Arabidopsis thaliana: one gene and its partners. The protein of the gene in region 1 interacts with the protein of each later gene in a pairwise test. Each region holds a gene or a part of one and is shown in the gene's direction. Other genes may lie near its edges.

Region 1 (4,877 bases):
TTTCATAACTCTTTTCGGAAACCCACACTATTATCTTTTGCTATGATCAGACAATTCAGCATGGATAAGCAACTAGGGAAATCGTAAGATGTCAGAAAGACAGAAACACTTACATCGACAGGAAATGTCTCACCAGGCAAAACCAATAGCGAGTCTCCAACTCGGATATCATCAACTGACACATTGATGCAAATTGAATCAGAGGAAAGTACAGAATCCACTGGGGTGTTATTGTCTGATGAAGTAATCACAAGTCTTGATTGAGTGGAGATGAGTGACTGCAAAAATACGTTTCAAGTCAAAAAAAAGGGAGGAAAAAGCCTACAAGTTAATCTTGGGAGGAGAATCAAGAAATGTCTAACATACCAATAGTTCATTCATATCGGTAGATGCTTGAAGCTTTGCTCTTTCTTCCAAAGAACGACCAAGGAGCACAAAGCCAAGCAGCATGACCTGCATACTAAATGACAAGAGCTATCAATCAGAAATTTACTATTGAAACTGTATTTTGCATGTAGTGGAAGTAATAATAAAAAGCTTTCATCCTCTTGTGGATCTGCTAGAGAAACTCACCGGTTCATCGAAGAAGGAAGCATCCCACTCCAGTTCTGGATTAACTAGTGAGATCTGCAAAATTCAGAATGCAGAAACTGCAGGTTTTCAGAATAGGATACTCACCAGTCAAATATAAATTACAGGGTACAAAAACTCACCAAACTGATGGAAAATGCAGCCATGGATCCCAATCCAACTAACGAGTTCATATTAGGTGATCTTTTCCCGAAAGCTTTTATGCCATCAAACAGCAATTCTACAATATACATCTATCTGTTTCAGTCATTTGTGTTTCCGAACAGCCTCAAATATCACTACCACCACTTTGTTATGAAAGTCGCAAAGAATAGTAGGAACCATCACTATCACTTAAGAAGTTTGAAAATTCAGAGTTTCTCTCTTATGACAACGACGACTCAATTAAGCTAACCATTATCCATAAGAAGAACTGATTCAACAAAGCTCACCTATATAATCAGAGTAGAACACTAGCACTTATCTAAGTCTAAACAATAGCCTAAGAACGACTACTTTGTCATCTCTCTCTTATGATACTAATTACTAAACTTATTATGCATTAGCTGGTAAGAATCATAGATTCGAACTAAAAGTTTAAACAAAAGCAAACCTCTTCCTGGTCCCAACAAAGCTCCAACGGCCAAACCACCTTTCACGTAAGAGTTGTGTAGCAAATCCCAAATCCCTCCTAGTAACATCAGGTGCAAGAGAAAGTCATAAACTACATCTCTTATCCAACAAATGACATCTAGCATCACAATTTTTTTTGCATTATAATCAATGTACCATGAGCAATGTGAATTCCCAAGGAATGAAGAATATGCGAAGTGTGAGACCCGCAACACAGAGCCACCAATGTCCACGCAAACGCCACACGGTTCCTGCTCTTAACAAGCAAGTCCTCTTTCTTACTTACCATCTCCTTCCACTTCTTCACATTCTCCGCCACTCCCATACCCGAGACTCTCCTCTTAGCCTCAAAACCACTCTCTGTCAATCTCTTAGCTAAACTCTCTGCCGTATCCGCCGTCACCTCAACCTCCGGTTTAAACTTCACAGCCGCGGTTTCAGTCAGCATGTTAACCACAGCAGACGCGACTCGATCATCAGACATCAAAACCGATTTAACTCGGGCGACGCAGCCACCACACATCATCCCACTCACATCGAGGAGAATAGGCGTGTCGCTCGTAATGGATTTCACAGATTCGATTGAAGATTCAGTAGATTCAAATGATTGAGTACTTATCTCGACCGAGTTTGATACTAAAAAAAAAGGTCGCGAACAGTGCCGCCGGATACGAGAACGGCGCAGTCTTGGAAAGCATCGGTTCACGAGGAACTTACTTGGACGAATATGAAGACTCGATGGCGGAGGAAGAGGAAATCGGAGAAGATTGCTCGCCATTTTCTCCGGCGAGACAGACGACGATAGTCACGCGATGTATACAAGTAAGAAACTAGTGGTGGACTGGTGTATGGTTCGTTAAAAAGAGTATCGCTAAACGTTGACACGTCGGATTTGGAATATATCCGAACATTAGCCATTTTTGTGGAATTTTTAAAAAGCCAGGCTGTCACCAGAAAAATCAGAGAGAGACATAAAACGCAAAGTTTTAATAGGTAAGACCTTCTAACTCAGCTAGAGGATTACAGCCCCCGGGACACAGCGATGCCACGTGTCATCTTCCTGAAATATTGTTTTTTGTTTGGAGGTAACTTTATCTTCTCAAGCTTTCTTCTTCTACAACACATCTAGAGCTTTGCAACAATGGAGGCGAGTGCGAATGAACCAGCTATGAAAAGCTTGAAATCCAATCCTTCAGGACCGATACCGAACTTTTTCGTATCGCTCTCTTCGGCATTTACGCAAACACCTCTTGTGCGTTCGAACAAACCCAATTTGCTTCTTCTACCACCAGTTGCAGACTCCGTCAAATTGATTCAAGACTTTCATCAGTCTCTGATTTCTGCTACTGAGAAATTTAAAGGATTCCTCCATTCGCTCGCCTCTAAGAACCCTCTCTTTCAGGAAGCGGTTCGCCTATCTTCCGAATTTCACATTTTGTGCGACGAGGTAACTTCTCTTAGCCTGCTTATGCTAAAGAATGTTATGGATTAAGTTAAGAAGATGATTGTGTGTTTCTCATGAACTTGCCTTGGCTCTGATTGTTACTGTAATGGGTGAATCTTTGTGGTTTCTATTTATACAAAATGGGTCATTCTTTAACAGCCAGTAGATTGTTGTCTAGATCATTTAGCATTTATTGGAAAACCTTCTCACATTGATAACCCTGAGTTATATATGTCCTCAAGTTGGGATCTTTTTTGGTTCTTTTCTTGTAAAGATGAAACTTGGCTTCTGGATAAGTCCGGTTATGATTTTGTGTGCCTTTGCTTCTGGTTTTGGGTTCTTTATGTCTTAAAGATGAAGATCATTTTGTTGCATTGCAGATTCGTTTGAGAAACACTACAAGGGTGAGGTTTGCGATGTCTAATCACGGATTTGCAGCGGTTCTGCCTGGAGATTCAGTTGCAGGATTGGTGGTTGCTAATGGTTTGATCAATTTCCTCAACATATATAACACCATCCTTGTCGTCCGTCTAGTACTCACCTGGTTCCCGAGTGCTCCTCCTGCCATTGTTAACCCCCTCAGGTAAAACGTTGCCTTCAAATGCCACAATGATTTTATATCTTATCCAGGTTTAAAAGTTTTCGATCAATCCATGAAAACAAAATCTAGATCATAGAAGTCCTATTCGTGATTGTTGAAGGTAGTCTTTTTACTTGATTTAGAGGAAATTTATTTTGGATAAACTCTGTCTACTACTTTTTTGTCCAACTCTTAAATGGATTAAAGATTGGTTAAACCCTGATTGATCTGCCCAGGAACCCTAGTTGATTCCTATTTATGTGTATATGCGTTACCATTGTTTCAGCACTTTATGTGATCCATACTTGAACATTTTCCGGGGATTCATACCGCCTCTTGGAGGATTAGATTTGTCTCCCATTTTGGCGTTCCTTGTTCTCAACGCCTTCACCAGCTCGGCTATGGCACTTCCTTGCGAACTCCCGTCAGCTGATGGAGCCGTTTCTCCAGCTTCTAGTGAGACAAAGTGGGTGAGAAGGAGAAGGTTGAGCAGCCACAAAGACCACAGACCGAGCTCAGCTTCTATGACCTGAACCTGTCTAAAATATCTACTCTTTTCTGCGCTTCAAATGTAAAATCTACCTTTCGAGTAATTTTATTACTCTGTATCTTTGGATTTCTGAGTTTTGTATAAATTTTCTTTAGAAAATGAATAAAAGAGTTGTGTTCCTGACATACAGAAATATTGTAAAAATTTTGCAAGAGATGAGCTTTTCTTCTTCATTTGTGGCATCAAAACAACTTTCGCTCAGATTCTAACCAGAGGCTTTGCATATCAAGACGAAAACAAGAAGGATGAGGATGACAAGCAATCCACCAAACGAACCACATAGCCTGTGAATCCAGTAAGGATCAAACCTGGTCAAGCTCGGGTCACTGTACAAGGACAAGGCTATGGCTAAAATCAACAAGAGGAGAAGCAGAGAGAAGGAAAACATAAAGCTGAAGAGTTCTTCTTCCTCTTCTAGATCTTCCTCTGATAATCTGTCGATGTAGAGTGGTGAGAGCACGGCTAGTACCGACAAGCTTATGGCCAAAAGCTTCCTGGAAGTAGTAAACCTCCCCATCATCGGGCTGGATGATCCCGTTTCCATCAGAAAAATGCCAGTACAAAATATATAAAAACAACTGGTAACTTTCTTTACAATCCCCGGTTGGTGTTCATCTGAACTAAAATGGCTTGTTTCTTGGTAAGAATCTGAACACAAGTTGCAGGATTGTTTCAAAAAGCCGTTTAGATGGTATGGTTTAGCTATTTACTCAAAAAGAGAAGAGAGAAAGAAGATTCTTTCGTTTCTGGTGAACAGTTGTGACCACACACTGCTAAAAATATTCCAAGGGATCATATGCTTAAAACTTTTCTTCTCTTTCTATTAGTTCAATCTTTTTACAAAAAGCTGATTCTAAAAGACATTGTAACATTGTTCATATATCACTATCTTTTTTTCTTTACTATGAACCTGTACAACAGCTATAATTTGGTCTAACAATGAAGAAAGGTCATCAATTCAAAGCTATATATACAAACGCCAGTTGTCTACTCATCAGAAGAACTTGGCACCTACACTTGGGTAAAAGTTATCAAGGTGAGCATAGAGTGAAGTCAGTTTCAATCCGGTAATATGAACGTCTGATCTTGAAAGTTCTTCA
Region 2 (6,252 bases), 3.8 Mb from region 1:
TCCAAAGGCAAAAGTGCTGATGGATCTTGGCTTTGGTGTACTACTGATGACACTGTTTATGATGCTGTTAAATCCGTATGCTTATACTACTCTCTTTTTCCTTTTTTAGATATCTCGATGTGGATTTGGAATTGATTGTGTTTGATTTTGTTTAGATGACACAACACAATGTTGGTGCCTTGGTGGTTGTGAAACCTGGTGAGCAACAAGCTCTTGCTGGTATCATTACAGAGAGAGGTAAAATTAGATCTAATCATTAATAATTTTTTTGTTGTGTCTTGTGGTATGTGTGATTCACTTTTCGGCATTGTGATTTCTCTAGATTATCTACGGAAGATCATTGTGCAAGGGAGATCATCCAAATCAACAAAAGTTGGAGACATTATGACTGAAGAGGTATGTAAATGCACGATTGTACGATTTTTTTTTTGCTTTTGTGGATTGAAACTGACTGGATCTGTGAACTGGCAATTGCAGAATAAGCTTATCACTGTGACACCGGAGACCAAGGTCTTGCGTGCTATGCAACTGATGACAGGTAAGCAGACAACTTGATATTTTTCCACTAAAGATACAAGCTTTTGGGTTTAAAACCTACTGAAGCAAATAAAAATGCGGGTTTGTGTTTTTGTAATGTACAGATAACCGAATCAGGCATATTCCGGTAATCAAAGACAAGGGCATGATTGGAATGGTGTCCATAGGAGATGTTGTCCGTGCAGTGGTTCATGAGCATAGAGAGGAGCTTCAACGCCTAAATGCGTATATTCAGGGAGGTTACTAGATCTTGAATAATGGAAAGAAAAGAGTTCCCTGTTGTGTCGTCTGGTCTTGTGCTGCTGAATCTGAAAAGCTTCCAGATCAGTGTAAATATGCAGTCCTCGTTGTTATTGTTGTTGTTGTTGTGTTTGATGTTTTGTGTTGTTTCGTTGTTTAACTTGTCAAAACTAAGGCCTTGTGCTGCTTCTCTTCTTGCGCTTACTTAGCAAGAGAATAAAACCAAAAACTCTGATCTCTTTATGAAAGATATGATGTTTGTTTTTGTTATCAAATCTTGCGTCAAGTATCCATGTGTGTTATGAAATAATAGAATTACTTTGAAAATTTGATTTCGGTACAAAGTTTCCGTGTCTTTGGACCATGAAAAATATCTTAACAAGTAAACCAATTCTTTGAATACAAACAAGTAAACCAAGGCAAAATATAAAACGATAGATTTTCTTCAAATCAAATCGATTATGGTGTGGTCACAATATCGTCTCTCAAGGGATCAAACTCCGGTGACCAAGCTTGCACCATGAGATAGCGATCAAACGCCCTCCATGGACCTCCTGTCAACGCTGCCATGTATTCCTCCTCCGCTTCGAACCGAATCATGAAAAACTTACGAGGGAGATCCACAACAGACATTGCTCCTCGTGGTTTCCACATCTCTCGAAGCTTTCTACTTAATGCTGATATTGTCATGTTACGCCCGGGCACTTTCACGATCAAGCTGTTCTTCAACAAACCATTCATCGCCGCCAATACCTCACTGCCAATTGTTATCACTGGTTCTCCATCCTCACCATCAGGGAACTCCAGTGTCATTTGCTCAGACACAAACTCATCATCTAAGATATCATTCGGATTTAGGATACCACCTAAATGTCCCCCCACCACTTTCTTCACCCACGAACCCGGTGCATCAGGAGGGTCTCCCGGAGAATGACCTTTCTCTCCTAGGTCCGTCATGGTCACATCTTGCGTTTCAGATCTCAAGCCTCCGGCGGCGTCGCCCATTTTCTCTCTATCGATTATATTGAGACCACATTTTAACACAATCTTAAAAATGTATAGCAAATGCTTAAAAATCTTGATTGACTTTAATTAATCATGGTTTATCGGATTGGTTTATCCTAGGGTGGGCTTATCGAGTTAGGCCCATTGGTTATGTAGGCTTATAGCTCGTAGAAAGACTTCATGCGTAGTGACGTGGTGAATTATTAATGGTTGATAAGGATCAAACATAAACGAGCCAAACCGGAAAAATAAACCGGGAAGTATTAAATCACAATTAGAGGCGGGTCTTGGTCTCGAGTCTCGAAGCGTATAAGAGTCAAATACAACTGTAGCGTAGCTTCAGATCTGGTTATTTTCTTCCTTCGTGTGGAACAGCCATGGCTATGGAGTTTCTGAGGAGCAGTAGAAGAATATTGGAATCTTCTGGATGCGCGATCGCTTTGATTTTTCTGCTCTTCATCCATGGAGCTCACTCATTCTATCTCCCAGGTGTTGCTCCTCAGGATTTCGAGAAGGTAAAAACGTTTCGAATTTGTGCTTCTAGGCTTTTAGATCTGATTTGGATCTCCTGGATCTGCGTTTCGATTTCCGCTAGGATTAATCCGTTCTTGATTCCCGAGAAAGCTAGAGATAGTGAGAGTTGGAGTGCTGATGCACCGACTTTTGGTTTAGCTATTTTTCTAATAGAATTGGTGATTTCACTTCATTTCCGCTTCACTAATCTCTCGATCTGAACAATGTAGCGTCTTAGGCGAGCTATATCGATATTTATTCTTCTGGATTAGCCTTATTCGCTGTAATTTTGATTACCTTTGTTAGGTTCTTAGTGATCTCTCGCTCTTGATTCGCTTGCCATTACTACGAAATCCAAGTTATGGGTACAAGGGCAATGTCGGTCCTGCATGTTATATGACGAGTCTCAATCAAAGTAGACTTGCATGTTTCACTTCAAAATCATATTCAAATTTTGAGTCTTGTTTTCTTGTATGTTGCAGGGTGATGAGCTGAAGGTGAAAGTGAATAAATTAACTTCCATAAAGACTCAGCTTCCATACTCGTATTACTCCCTTCCTTTTTGTCGCCCTAGCAAGATTGTGGACAGTACTGAGAATCTTGGAGAAGTGCTTCGGGGTGACCGGATTGAGAATGCCCCATACTCGGTTAGTCTCGTATTCAATTTTTAATTTTGTAATTCATCAGGCTGTCAAAAATATTATGTCTGTGATTTAACTCTAACCCTTGCGGGGCTGAAACAATTGCAGTTTAAAATGCGGGAGGCACAAATGTGCAATATTCTCGGCCGGGTCACTCTTGATGCCAAGACAGCTAAAGCGTTTAAAGAAAAGATCGATGATGAGTACCGGGTCAACATGTAAGACCAAATACAGGCACTTTTCTTTGATTATTTGTATGAAGAACATGCTTTTCTCTGTCAGTTTTATTATAAGTGTTTCTGGTCTGTGTTAGGATCCTCGACAACCTTCCTCTGGTTGTTCCAATTGAAAGAGTCGACCAGGGTTCTCCCTCTGTTGTTTATCAGCTTGGTTATCATGTTGGTCTTAAAGGCCAGTACGAGGGGGTAAGTAGGTTTTAATTGTTAAGACACTAAATGGAATTCATGCTAGATCGTTCGATTTTCTAATTTTGTTTTTGCATACGCAGAGCAAAGAGCAGAAGTTCTTTATGCACAATCACTTGGCATTTACAGTCCGCTATCACAGAGATATCCAAACTGATGCTGCAAGAATCGTGGGATTTGAGGTTAAACCTTACAGGTGCAGTTCTTGTTCATAATTTGAATGTCTCTTGGGATCCCCTGTCATTCAGAACTGATATTCCCTCCGTTGATTTGTAGTGTGAAGCATGAGTATGAGGGAGAGTGGAGTGAGAAGACCCGTCTGACGACTTGTGATCCTCACACGAAACGCCTGGTCGTTAGCTCGGCTACCCCTCAAGAAGTTGAACAAAAGAAGGAGATTATCTTCACATATGACGTCGATTTCCAGGCAAGTTTTTTCTTAAGTAATCTGCGGTTTGTGTCTTAAAAAAATTTCATGAATTCTTGTTTTCAATAGTTTTTCTGATTTCCTCTTCTGTTTCTGTCCAGGAAAGTGAAGTGAAGTGGGCATCTAGATGGGATACTTATCTTCTGATGAGTGATAACCAAATCCACTGGTTCTCTATCGTCAATTCTCTGATGATCGTCCTATTCCTATCTGGTATGGTGGCAATGATAATGCTGAGGACCCTTTACCGTGACATTTCACGATACAACGAGCTCGAGACTCAAGAAGAAGCTCAAGAAGAGACAGGATGGAAGCTTGTCCATGGTGATGTTTTCAGACTTCCTACCAATTCTGATCTGCTCTGCGTCTATGTTGGAACAGGGGTCCAGTGTCTAGGCATGGTATTTGTCACAATGATCTTCGCCATGCTCGGATTTCTCTCCCCTTCCAATCGGGGTGGTCTGATGACTGCAATGCTCTTGCTCTGGGTCTTCATGGGACTCTTTGCTGGTTACGCCTCTTCACGTCTCTACAAAATGTTCAAAGGAACAGAGTGGAAGAGAATCGCTTTCAGAACAGCCTTCTTGTTTCCTGCAGTTGTGTCAGCAATCTTCTTTGTCCTAAACGCTCTCATCTGGGGACAGAAGTCATCTGGGGCTGTCCCCTTTGGAACAATGTTCGCCTTGATCTTCCTCTGGTTTGGCATCTCAGTTCCTCTCGTCTTTGTTGGGGGTTACATTGGGTTCAAGAAGCCAGCGGCTGATGACCCAGTGAAAACCAACAAAATCCCGAGGCAAATCCCAGAGCAAGCTTGGTACATGAACCCGGTTTTCTCAATCCTCATTGGAGGAATCTTACCGTTTGGTGCAGTCTTCATCGAGCTCTTCTTCATCCTCACATCCATCTGGCTCAACCAGTTCTACTACATCTTTGGGTTCCTCTTCCTCGTCTTTGTAATCCTCATTGTGACTTGCGCCGAGATAACCGTAGTACTCTGCTACTTCCAGCTTTGCAGTGAGGACTACCTTTGGTGGTGGAGATCATACCTCACATCAGGCTCATCAGCTCTCTACCTCTTCCTCTATGCCACGTTCTACTTCTTCACAAAGCTTCAGATCACCAAACTGGTCTCTGCGATGCTTTACTTTGGGTACATGCTCATCGCCTCCTACGCATTTTTTGTGCTCACAGGAACAATAGGGTTCTATGCTTGTCTCTGGTTCACAAGGCTCATCTATTCCTCTGTTAAGATCGATTAGAGGATATGATGATCATCATGGCGATTAAGGAAACAAAGAAGAAAAGGTGATCATAGTTTATCTTATTTTTCTTTTTAAAATCGGTTTTGTTGCATTTTAGGTTCTATTTTGTTGCATACCAAAAGAGATTTTAATATATGTAATAGAGTGTATTTTGTTTGATTTGTCAAATAACAACACTTTCTGAGAATTTTTGCAATATAACCAATTTTTATAAATAAACTCAAATGAGAACAACAATCAATCATGGTTTGGTGATATCAAACTCTAACTTTTCCTGCAATCATAAAAGCTTTGTAAACGACGGAACGAACCAGATCAGAACCTCCCCAAGCGGTTTCAAGCTCTCTCACCAAACTCTCCGGTAACAACTCGACGCCTTTCTCTCTCGCCGTGACGATGGCCGACCATGATTTAAACATCCTTATGATCCCTTCAAACGACGTCGTTTTAGGCATCTCCAGCTTTAATGGCTCCCCTTCTGATCCCATCCCAACATTTTCGAAAGGAAACGGCAATGCTTCGTACGAATCGAAGATGTGCTGAATGTACGGATACTTCCAAAACGGCAGCGTTGTGGCGTGGAGCCGATACTGGACGGCGTCGAACTCTGGACTCACTATGACGTCGTTGTATCCCCAGACAGCGATGATTCCGCCTGGTTTACGGAGGAGTCGTGTGGCCACTGAGTAGAACCTAGGGAGATCGAACCAGTGTACGCCTTGGGCGACCGTGATTAGATCCACTGAGTTTTCTCCTCCGATTAATTCCACTAGCTCGTCGTCGGTCATTGACGTCGGCGTATGGCGATAATTGATTTTCGGATGTGGCGTTGCTAGCTTCAGCTGCGATTCACTCACGTCCGTTGCTACGACACTCTCGTAATGCTCTGCAACCTGCAAAATGGAGGCGAAATTTGTCAAATCCAAGATCTGATGCATGTTGTTGTGATCATTTACGAGCAAGAAGCTAAATCTGTTAAATCTAAGTTTGAAGCTCTATAAAAATTTATGAGCATCAAATACTGACGGCGAGAGCTGCTTGGCCATTTCCGGTGGCAGCATCCCAGGCTAAACCGTGGTGATCGGTGAGATCAGCGAGCTTCGAGAACCACTCAGAGGGGTAATTAGGTCTGGCGTCAAGGTATAGATCGGCTTGTTTATCAAACAATCCTGCCATTTTCTCTCTGTTTTGCTTCTTCTTTT
Region 3 (4,476 bases), on another chromosome or scaffold:
TGCAGAGTTGATTTATAAAAAAAGATTGGGGACAGAGTTACCATTAGAAGTTTGGATCGAAACAATTGTTTTTTTTTGTTTTTGATAAAATATTGATCGACACAATTGTTTGACATTCATTTAATGTTCTTAACACAAAACCAAAATCCATATGACTATATTTATATTAATTATGTTGTTAGTTTTGTTGAAATAAGTTATCCAAAAACAAATTTCAAGAATAATTTGAAAGATTTTGGGTCTTTCTACTTTCTAGGAATTGCAAGGTCAAGGCGGTTGGTCTTGTGTCATGATTTTCTTCGTTTTAACTATTCAAAGAAAACAAATATTGATAATAAAATAACCTTGTTGTGATTATCTAGAAAAAGGGCTGTAGAAGAAACAAGAAGCATCTCTGTTTTATGTTCCCAAATGAACCAGAAACTCTTAGAAACTTCTAACACCTCTTAGAAACCAACCTTTTAGCATAAACCCTAATCCCATCTTTATAAACCAAACACTTCTTGCCTTTTTCTTGCAAACTCACAAAAAAGAAGACAAGAAGACAAAAATTAAGAAATTTACCGATTTGAAAACAATGGCTCTAGCTCGTCTGGCTTTGAGAAACCTTCAACAAAAACTGTCTCCTAGTTTGATGGGTCAATCTTGTGAAAGAGGTTTGGTCGGAAATCGACATAATCCAATGAAGCTAAACAGATTCATGGCTACTTCGGCTGGTGAACAAGAGGATAAGATGAACACAGAAGTGAGTGTGTCTGAGAAGAAATCTCCTCGACAGAATTTCCCCCGGAGACGTGGCCGAAAAAGCCTCTGGCGTAACACCGACGATCATGGCTACTTCACTCCCACCCTAAATGGTACGTTTGTCATTTTAGTTCATTATTGATATACCTATTTAGCAGAAAATTTCAATAGTGTCACAATAATAATATTTTCGAAATAAATTATATAAAAAAAATTCAACATTTAAGTGTAAAATATATCCCATAAAAGAAAAATTAAGAAGAAAATTTGAAATTCTAGAATCATAAAAATACATCAAATTTTAAATTTACATTTTCATTGCATTAAATCTCATGAAACATAATTAATGTAAACCTCTATTTTTGCTTGAATTGAATTTTTTCTTCTTCTTAAAACAGAGTTCTTTCCTCCGACTATAGGAAATACTCTGATACAAGCAACAGAGAATATGAACAGAATTTTCGACAACTTCAACGTGAATCCATTCCAACTAATGGGTCAAGTGAAAGAGCAAGACGACTGTTACAAGCTCAGATACGAGGTTCCAGGGCTAACCAAAGAAGACGTGAAGATCACGGTAAATGATGGAATCTTGACGATTAAAGGAGATCACAAGGCGGAGGAAGAGAAAGGCTCACCTGAGGAAGACGAGTACTGGTCTTCAAAGAGTTATGGTTACTACAACACGAGCTTATCGTTGCCTGATGATGCTAAGGTTGAGGACATTAAGGCGGAGCTCAAGAATGGTGTGCTTAATCTTGTGATTCCTAGGACGGAGAAGCCAAAGAAGAATGTTCAGGAGATTTCTGTTGAGTAGAAGAGATACGGTGTCGTTTTTGTGTTCTTTGATGGACTAAGCAAATTAATGTTGTACCTTTTTTATGTTTATGCGAATGGAATCAGTTATTAAGTTGCTAATTAACTTAGTTCATTTGCGCAAACAAAAGAAGCTAGAAAATACATTATAGACTAATTGAACAAGCAAAGAATGAACCAGTTTTGTGTTTGTAATGAGAATGGAATAAATTGTTATTCAGCATAGTTAATTTTCGCAAAAGAAAGAAGCCAAAATTAATTAAAAGAAGCAGCAAATGTTGTGTCCCTTTTATGTTTTCTATGCGAATGGCTCAATGGAGTAAATTGCTAATTCACGTCATGAACACAAAAATGTTGATATATTAAACAAGAAGTCCATTTTTGTACCTCATATCAAAATTTTATTTGTAAATTTTGTATTAATAATTGTGGATTTGCTATACTATACTATGAAATATTTTTCTTTATAGACAAGTTATGTTATACATTAAATTATTTATTTATTAATAAGTACAGTATTTTAGTGTATTGTCAGAGTTCAGTTTCTTTAAAGAAAACACAATATTTTTTTTTTTTGTCGTCAAGAAAACACAATATTTATGTTAAACAAAAATGCATGATATTTCAATAGTTTGTGGAAAATTATAGAAAATATTTCATTTTCCTTCTTTTAGTTTGGTATTAAGAAGGAAAAAACCAAAAACATTTTTTTGATAATGTATACATAAATTAAAATTAAAATAATGAGAAAACAAAACAAGGTCCAAAATACCTTGTGAAGAAAATGGCGACGGCGTTTGCCAACACGACTTCAAGCTCCAACCTTTACCTCCATCGCTGCCGTAAAAACCATCCTCTTCCATCTCCGTCGTTCTTTTCACCGTTCCGGTCGTCTCCACTTCCTTCTCAGACCCTTTTCCTCGTCCCCACTCCAAAACCTGTACGACGCATCGCGGTCGCTCCTCTCGGCCCTCCAACGCCGCCTAGTCCCGACCCACCTCCGCCTAAAAACACGACTGAGCTCACAAGTTCGTCTTTCCCTTCTTACCCTTAAAACTTCAATGTTTCAACTCTGAGTTCTGATTTTGTTTACTGCCAATTCTATTTTTCAATCTTTCCTAATTCGATGAAATTGCATTACGGAATTCGAATTAGGAGAATGAAGGTGGTTTAACTGCTATTGATTCGTAGATAAAGATGTTAATCTTAGTCCTCAAGATCGATTACTGTTCATTGCTAAAGTTTTGATCTTTGTGACAATTTATAGACTTTTACTCTTGTTAAGCATTAAGGATTTATAAATCTCCTCCTTTTACAACTTGTGAATGTCTTCCAAAAGTTCCACCATTTTCTTTTCCCTACAGGTTTAGTCATTGGTTGCAATACGAGAGCAATCTTCTTAACAATTTGGATTCATAGTTGTTGTTTGGTATCACATTTTGTGTAGGTCTTGTGGGAGTAGCGTCGATGATTCAAGACCGTGTAAAGATCTTTCTTTCAGTACTAATTTGGATCTCTCTCTTCTTTTGGGCTTCGGCTTTACAAGGAAGAGGCAGCAAAGGTAATGGTAAAGGGAAGAAGGGTTCACGCTTCAAATAGTATTAGTTAGATTGGTGTGGTGATGATGATGATGATTGATGAAAACTCCTCTACACGTTTGTGTATATATACAGAGGAAATATTCTTCCAAGTAAAGCAAATTTCTTGTCAGACTACAGTTTTATACTAGAAACTAGATTGTTCTCTTCTTACGATATCTCTAGCTTAGAGCTATAGAGATTACTCTACTGTGATGAAACTAAAGTAGTTTGCATTTAAGTCAAAATGCCAAATCAATATCATTGTTTATTGAAAGCTGTTTCAGATTGTAAATGACTAGATGTGTTTGGTGTGTGCTTGATTCAGCCAAACGGTAAACCGCACCGTTTCTTTGATTTGAATGTTTGTTGTATAAAATGGGCCTTTAGATATGTTATATAACTTGTTTGGGCTTCAACATACTCTTTTATTGGGCCTCTCTATATAATATAATATTTCCAAAGTTGTATTTAATTATTATTTGATTTATATTTAAAACAGTGGTTGTTTATTCATGATATGAAAAAAGAAATAACTGGATTTAGGTAAACCTTATTCAATACTGGGACAATGAATTAACCAGCTCATGATTAGTTGGACCTGTTTTGGTTAAAGGCTGGTAGTAAGTTTAGAAACAGAAATTTATGATAAGAGCCTAACATTTTGTTCTGACCACACTGAGTAATTTAACAATCTATCTAAATTAAGATTTTATGCTATGTTTAATTTATATTTGTTCTGATTATAGCAAATAAATTTCCATATCTAGAGATCTTCTTCATACACAATAAAAAAAACTAGTATTTGAACTTTTGTATGTATTAAAAATTGCAAGATTTTGTAAGTACAGATTCACCAAGGTGAGGTGTGTGATTAGGAAACTTTGATTAGTTGTCATGTGTCATCAACAGGCCATGAAAAGGAAATCTTTGAAATTCAAAAAACAATACCTTTTGATGAAATTATTACTATATAAATACTATATGTGACTATGTGTGGATATGCACAATCATTCCCACTAATAGTTTAATAAAGTGTATAATTTTTTTCAAATTAAAACAGCTAAACACACACAACCACATTCAAAAAGGGGTTAAGCATTGAAGAATATTCTAAGAAAATTTGTTTCTCTTCTTACAGAAGTAAAAGCGACTCTCTCTCTCATTAAGCATCAAAGGAGTTTCGTTTTTCTTGCTTTGCTGTTACATTCTTCAGGAAAAAGGCGTTACCTTTACTCTCTCTGCATCAACGAGGAAGCGTGTAGAGCTAAAGGAGCTGAATTTGAGAGATTTTTTTGTTTTGTTTCTGGGTTTGTTCAAAGATGCAAATTTTTAGTTG
Region 4 (4,086 bases), on another chromosome or scaffold:
TGATGTGAGTAATAATTTCATATCACATTAATTACTCTGTTTTAAATAGCATTTTTTTGTTGTTGTTGTTGTTTAATTTTCATGGTTTGATGGTGTGTGCAGAGTTGTTGCATATGCTTGGGGAAATATGGAGAGGAAAAAGGAGTAGGACTAAGGAAACTTGAATGCTCACACGTATTTCATTCGCAATGTATAGACAAATGGCTGAAAATCAAATCCACATGCCCTCTCTGTCAATCACAAGTTAGGTGGTGATGAGATGAGGTTGATTTTTTTTTTATTTTTTTTTCGCTCAAGAGTAATTGTACACATTCAATAAACAAAAGTGGTGGGAAACTGAAAGATACGATCCTGTCTTCTTGTGTTGTCTGTCTTAAAACAGAAAATAAATATCATACAGATCATTTGACCTATTAACAATTTAACTTGTCCAAAACATCTGCAATATATATAAACATTGAAATCTCAGCTTTGATCTTCATTTTTCAAAATAATGTTTTATTTGTAACACGACTAATACGTACTTAGTATTGATCTGGTCTAAAAAAATACTAATAATTTTATCAACAAAGAAGGAAAGGTATATGCTTTGTGCTCGTCAACGCAAATTTGAATGAACTTTTCATTTGATCGGCAAGAAATAGGAAAAACCAAAAGTGATCAATGGAGGGCCCTTTGTTGAGCGAGTGTGAACACATCATTGACATTACAAGCGATGGTAGTTCTTCATCAATTGATGGTCAGCAACCACACGAGGGTGTTGAATTGGGTGATCCATACACAAATGAAAGCATTTGTAATTCAATCGAGTTTGTTGTGACTTTGGTCTTGATTGCTGCGGTCATAATCGTTCTGATTGAGCCAAGAGATGAAGAACATCCACAAACAATGTTGTCTATATGGATCATCGGTTATACATGTGGCTGTATTGCCACTCTCCCTATCCTATGTTGGCGTTTTTGGCTTTATAACCGAAGCGTTGGCTCCGAATCTACAGATGAATACTTAAGAGAGACAAGGTATATATAAATTGTGTTTTCTTTTATCTTTTTATGCATTAGATTGAGATATAATGGTTTTATTGGTTTGCAGAATCAACAAGGATATGGACTTTTTTATGACGGGTTTCTTCGTGGGTTGGTATGTGGTGTTTTTATGGATTCTTTCTTCCAAAGCATTCGACTCATCAGCTCTAGATGATACTACAACTCAATACTTCTGGTGCGTATCAAACGAAATTTCCAATCATATGTATACCTTAAAACGTATATATTGACCTTTCTTATACTCATGCCTTTGGCCTTCTTCATTGTCTCTTTTGCAGGTTATGTTTGGCTCTCCTTACTTTCAGTTGCATTAGATATGTTCTTTTTAATCTAACATTGGCAATGGTCTGTTATACTACTCCTTTGCTTTTACTTACGCCTGTGGTCATATGTGTTCTCCTTGCTGTGGAAGTCTTAAAAGGCATTGTAGCATGCATTGTATCATGCATCTGCTGAAATCGAACTAATAAAAATATTTTGTTTGTAAGCCTAGGAGAATGGGCGTTTAAAATCAAAGTAAAGCAGAGTACCAGAATAAAAATGTTTTGTGTTCATGTTGATGATTTTAATCTTATTAAGGTAGAGAAAAACAGTAGCTAAGGTTTTTTGAAATGATCAAATATGATCATCTCGTCTTATTTCCTCTTTTTATTTTATTTTTCTCCCTCGTTAATATTATTCTCCATTAAATGACAGTTTTGACTGACCATTCTTATTCGTGCGTTTTCGCTATTCAGATATGTATTTTAAGGGCCCGTACTTTAATGGGCTTTTTAAAATCTGACTTATTTCGAGTCGAGTCCTACCTCATTGTGACATTTACCCAAATAATCACGTGTTTCAGAATAACCTTTTATAGGCCTTATTATTTTGACAGATTTGGGTAAATCGAAATGGATATATAGATAACTTTAACACCAAAGATAAGATAACTAAGAAAAATAATAAAATATTATAGTTTCCCAAATAATAAAATTTAACACCAAAGATTTCTCCTTTTACAAAAAAGACATATTACTTCTTCTAGCTTCCCAAATAATACATCAAGCACCAAAGAATTAGGAAGACTATAATTTAGAACCAAATATTTTGAAATTTTACTCTAACGGGCTACAATTGACTAATAATTGGTCTTGGTGTAGGTAAAACAAAAACACACAAAACAAATGTAGCTCCGAAAGTCTACTCATTGTAAAGGACTTTATGTGATTGACTTAGAATTGGTATTGGTGTCGATTAGGTCTTAAGATAATAATATAGCTGGAAATGTCTATTATTCGTATTTAGAGAAGAATGACTAACTTTTTTTTTGTTCGTTAGAAGTTTACAATTGACTTATAGAATAGATCTTGACGTAGATTGGGTCTTAGAATAATAATTTAGCACCAAAGAATCGGAGAGGGCTTTATGTAATTTGTATTTCAACGCTTGTTTAGATGAACTATTAATTCGATTGGACAAAATAGAAGAAAGCAAAAAAGTGATCAATGGAGGGCCCTTTGTTAACCAAGAGTGAGCACAACGTCGAAGACGTTACAATCCATGGCGATTCTTCCTCAAATGATGAGCACATCATCGACATTACAATCAATGGCGGTTCGTCATCAGCTGATCATGAGCAAACTCCACATGAGGCATTTCAATGGAGTTGTCCATTTACAAGTGGAAGTTTCTGGATTTTGGTCGAGTTAGCTGTGACTTTGGTCCAGATTGTTGCAGCCATATTTTTTCTGATTCTAACAAAAGATGAACGAGATCCAGAACTAGATGTAGCTTTGTTTACATGGATCATCTTTTATACTTGTGCCTCTATTGCCACTTTGCCTTTTGTATGTTGCCGTTTATGGCAGTATATCCAAAACGCTAGCTCAGAGACAAGGTATAAACTGTGTTTCTTTTTCTTTTTCAGGCATTAGAGACTGATATCCTCAACAATGGTTTTTATTGATTTGCAGCAACGAGGTGATGGAGTACCGTTTGGAAAATTTTCTTGAATCTTTCTTCGTGTCCTTGATTGTGGTGTCTTTATGGCATATTCTAACCGAGTCATCATCACGTCAAGATACTAGTCGACACTTCTGGTGCGCATCTAACTAAATTTACAATTATGGCTAAACAACATAATTTACCTCTCTAGAACTAACAAATGTCCTTTTCCAGGTTATGGCTGGGTCTACTTGCTTTCAGTTGCATTCGATATGTGCTTCCTAATTTCCAATTTACCGTACAGTTATTCATGTTGCCTGGGGTGTCCCTTGTTACTGCACTTGTGGCCGCCATAGTAACGATGATTAATTCGTTACTCTCACTCTTTTTGGTCATCATTGGACTCTTTGCGTTAACCTTTTCGTGGATCATTGGAATGTGCGGATAAAAATGATGGATCATGTTGTTTTCTTCAACAATTGTTGTAATACTCTCTTTCTATTTATTAAATAAAGCCAAGTGTCATTAGCATTACCGAATCCTCTATTCCTGAAATGGCCGGCAAAACTGAAACTAAAGGCTTCTCTGTACCAATATCTCTGCAGCAAGATAAACATTTCAGTATCTGCATTTCAACATGTACAACTGGTTTGTCTATTGTAAAAGGCCTCTTTGGCCATCTTGATGAAGCGCTTCATGTTGAGACAGCATGTGGCACGCCCGACAATTCTTTTTAAGAGTGCACCCATAACATATATGTTCTTATGCTATCAAACAACCCACAAGGAACCTGAAGATGATAACTACTTGATAGAGATGATATGACTTCAATCAATCTCGATCGGGTTCGGTTAAGGGCACTAATAGATAACCTGCTATATGGGAGTGTGAAGACCATTAATTGGTTTTTCACATATATATGACTGAAGAAATCAGCCGTAACCAAATATTAGTGTTTTTGCATCAGTTGGGGCCTTGGGGGTCAATTATGGAGTGGAATAATACATGAAAACTTGAATGGTCGCATGCAGAGCAGAGGTAGCCTTTAAATTAAAGCACACATCAAAATGTAGTGCAATGTTGCGAACTTTTATTCAACTAAACAATTTAACAC

Evidence for each region.
Region 2: the proteins of YLMG2 (region 1) and EMP1 interact in a protein complementation assay, tested with the Arabidopsis thaliana proteins (one large-scale study listed by BioGRID).
Region 3: the proteins of YLMG2 (region 1) and AT1G52550 interact in a protein complementation assay, tested with the Arabidopsis thaliana proteins (one large-scale study listed by BioGRID).
Region 4: the proteins of YLMG2 (region 1) and AT1G15610 interact in a protein complementation assay, tested with the Arabidopsis thaliana proteins (one large-scale study listed by BioGRID).

Annotation. Positions count from the first base shown.
Region 1 is NC_003076.8:7,240,233-7,245,109, reverse strand, and holds YLMG2 (YGGT family protein), read left to right. Parts: upstream 1-2,229; 5' UTR 2,230-2,344; coding exon 2,345-2,650; intron 2,651-3,027; coding exon 3,028-3,230; coding exon of another isoform or gene 3,231-3,234; intron 3,235-3,269; exon of another isoform or gene 3,270-3,513; coding exon 3,514-3,760; 3' UTR 3,761-3,909; downstream 3,910-4,877. Other genes in the region: PAA2 (uncharacterized protein), read right to left, coding at 114-278, 367-453, 574-627, 714-811, 1,184-1,261, 1,360-1,981; AT5G21910 (uncharacterized protein), read right to left, coding at 3,983-4,321; AT5G21900 (RNI-like superfamily protein), read right to left, coding at 4,772-4,877. UniProt on the Arabidopsis thaliana protein: Not required for the biogenesis and accumulation of native cytochrome b6 in the thylakoid membrane. Not functionally involved in the pathway for covalent binding of the c-type heme to cytochrome b6.
Region 2 is NC_003076.8:3,423,705-3,429,956, reverse strand, and holds EMP1 (Endomembrane protein 70 protein family), read left to right. Parts: upstream 1-2,059; 5' UTR 2,060-2,159; coding exon 2,160-2,297; intron 2,298-2,777; coding exon 2,778-2,942; intron 2,943-3,044; coding exon 3,045-3,154; intron 3,155-3,249; coding exon 3,250-3,361; intron 3,362-3,444; coding exon 3,445-3,557; intron 3,558-3,637; coding exon 3,638-3,788; intron 3,789-3,889; coding exon 3,890-5,047; 3' UTR 5,048-5,269; downstream 5,270-6,252. Other genes in the region: CBSX3 (Cystathionine beta-synthase (CBS) family protein), read left to right, coding at 1-75, 156-237, 323-396, 478-538, 642-784; AT5G10830 (S-adenosyl-L-methionine-dependent methyltransferases superfamily protein), read right to left, coding at 5,308-5,943, 6,077-6,226.
Region 3 is NC_003070.9:19,571,868-19,576,343, reverse strand, and holds AT1G52550 (uncharacterized protein), read left to right. Parts: upstream 1-2,284; 5' UTR 2,285-2,344; coding exon 2,345-2,588; intron 2,589-3,007; coding exon 3,008-3,159; 3' UTR 3,160-3,589; downstream 3,590-4,476. Other genes in the region: AT1G52560 (HSP20-like chaperones superfamily protein), read left to right, coding at 578-857, 1,143-1,561; AT1G52540 (Protein kinase superfamily protein), read left to right, coding at 4,460-4,476.
Region 4 is NC_003070.9:5,368,260-5,372,345, forward strand, and holds AT1G15610 (uncharacterized protein), read left to right. Parts: upstream 1-2,497; 5' UTR 2,498-2,533; coding exon 2,534-2,925; intron 2,926-3,001; coding exon 3,002-3,127; intron 3,128-3,206; coding exon 3,207-3,420; downstream 3,421-4,086. Other genes in the region: AT1G15600 (uncharacterized protein), read left to right, coding at 664-1,019, 1,093-1,221, 1,325-1,502.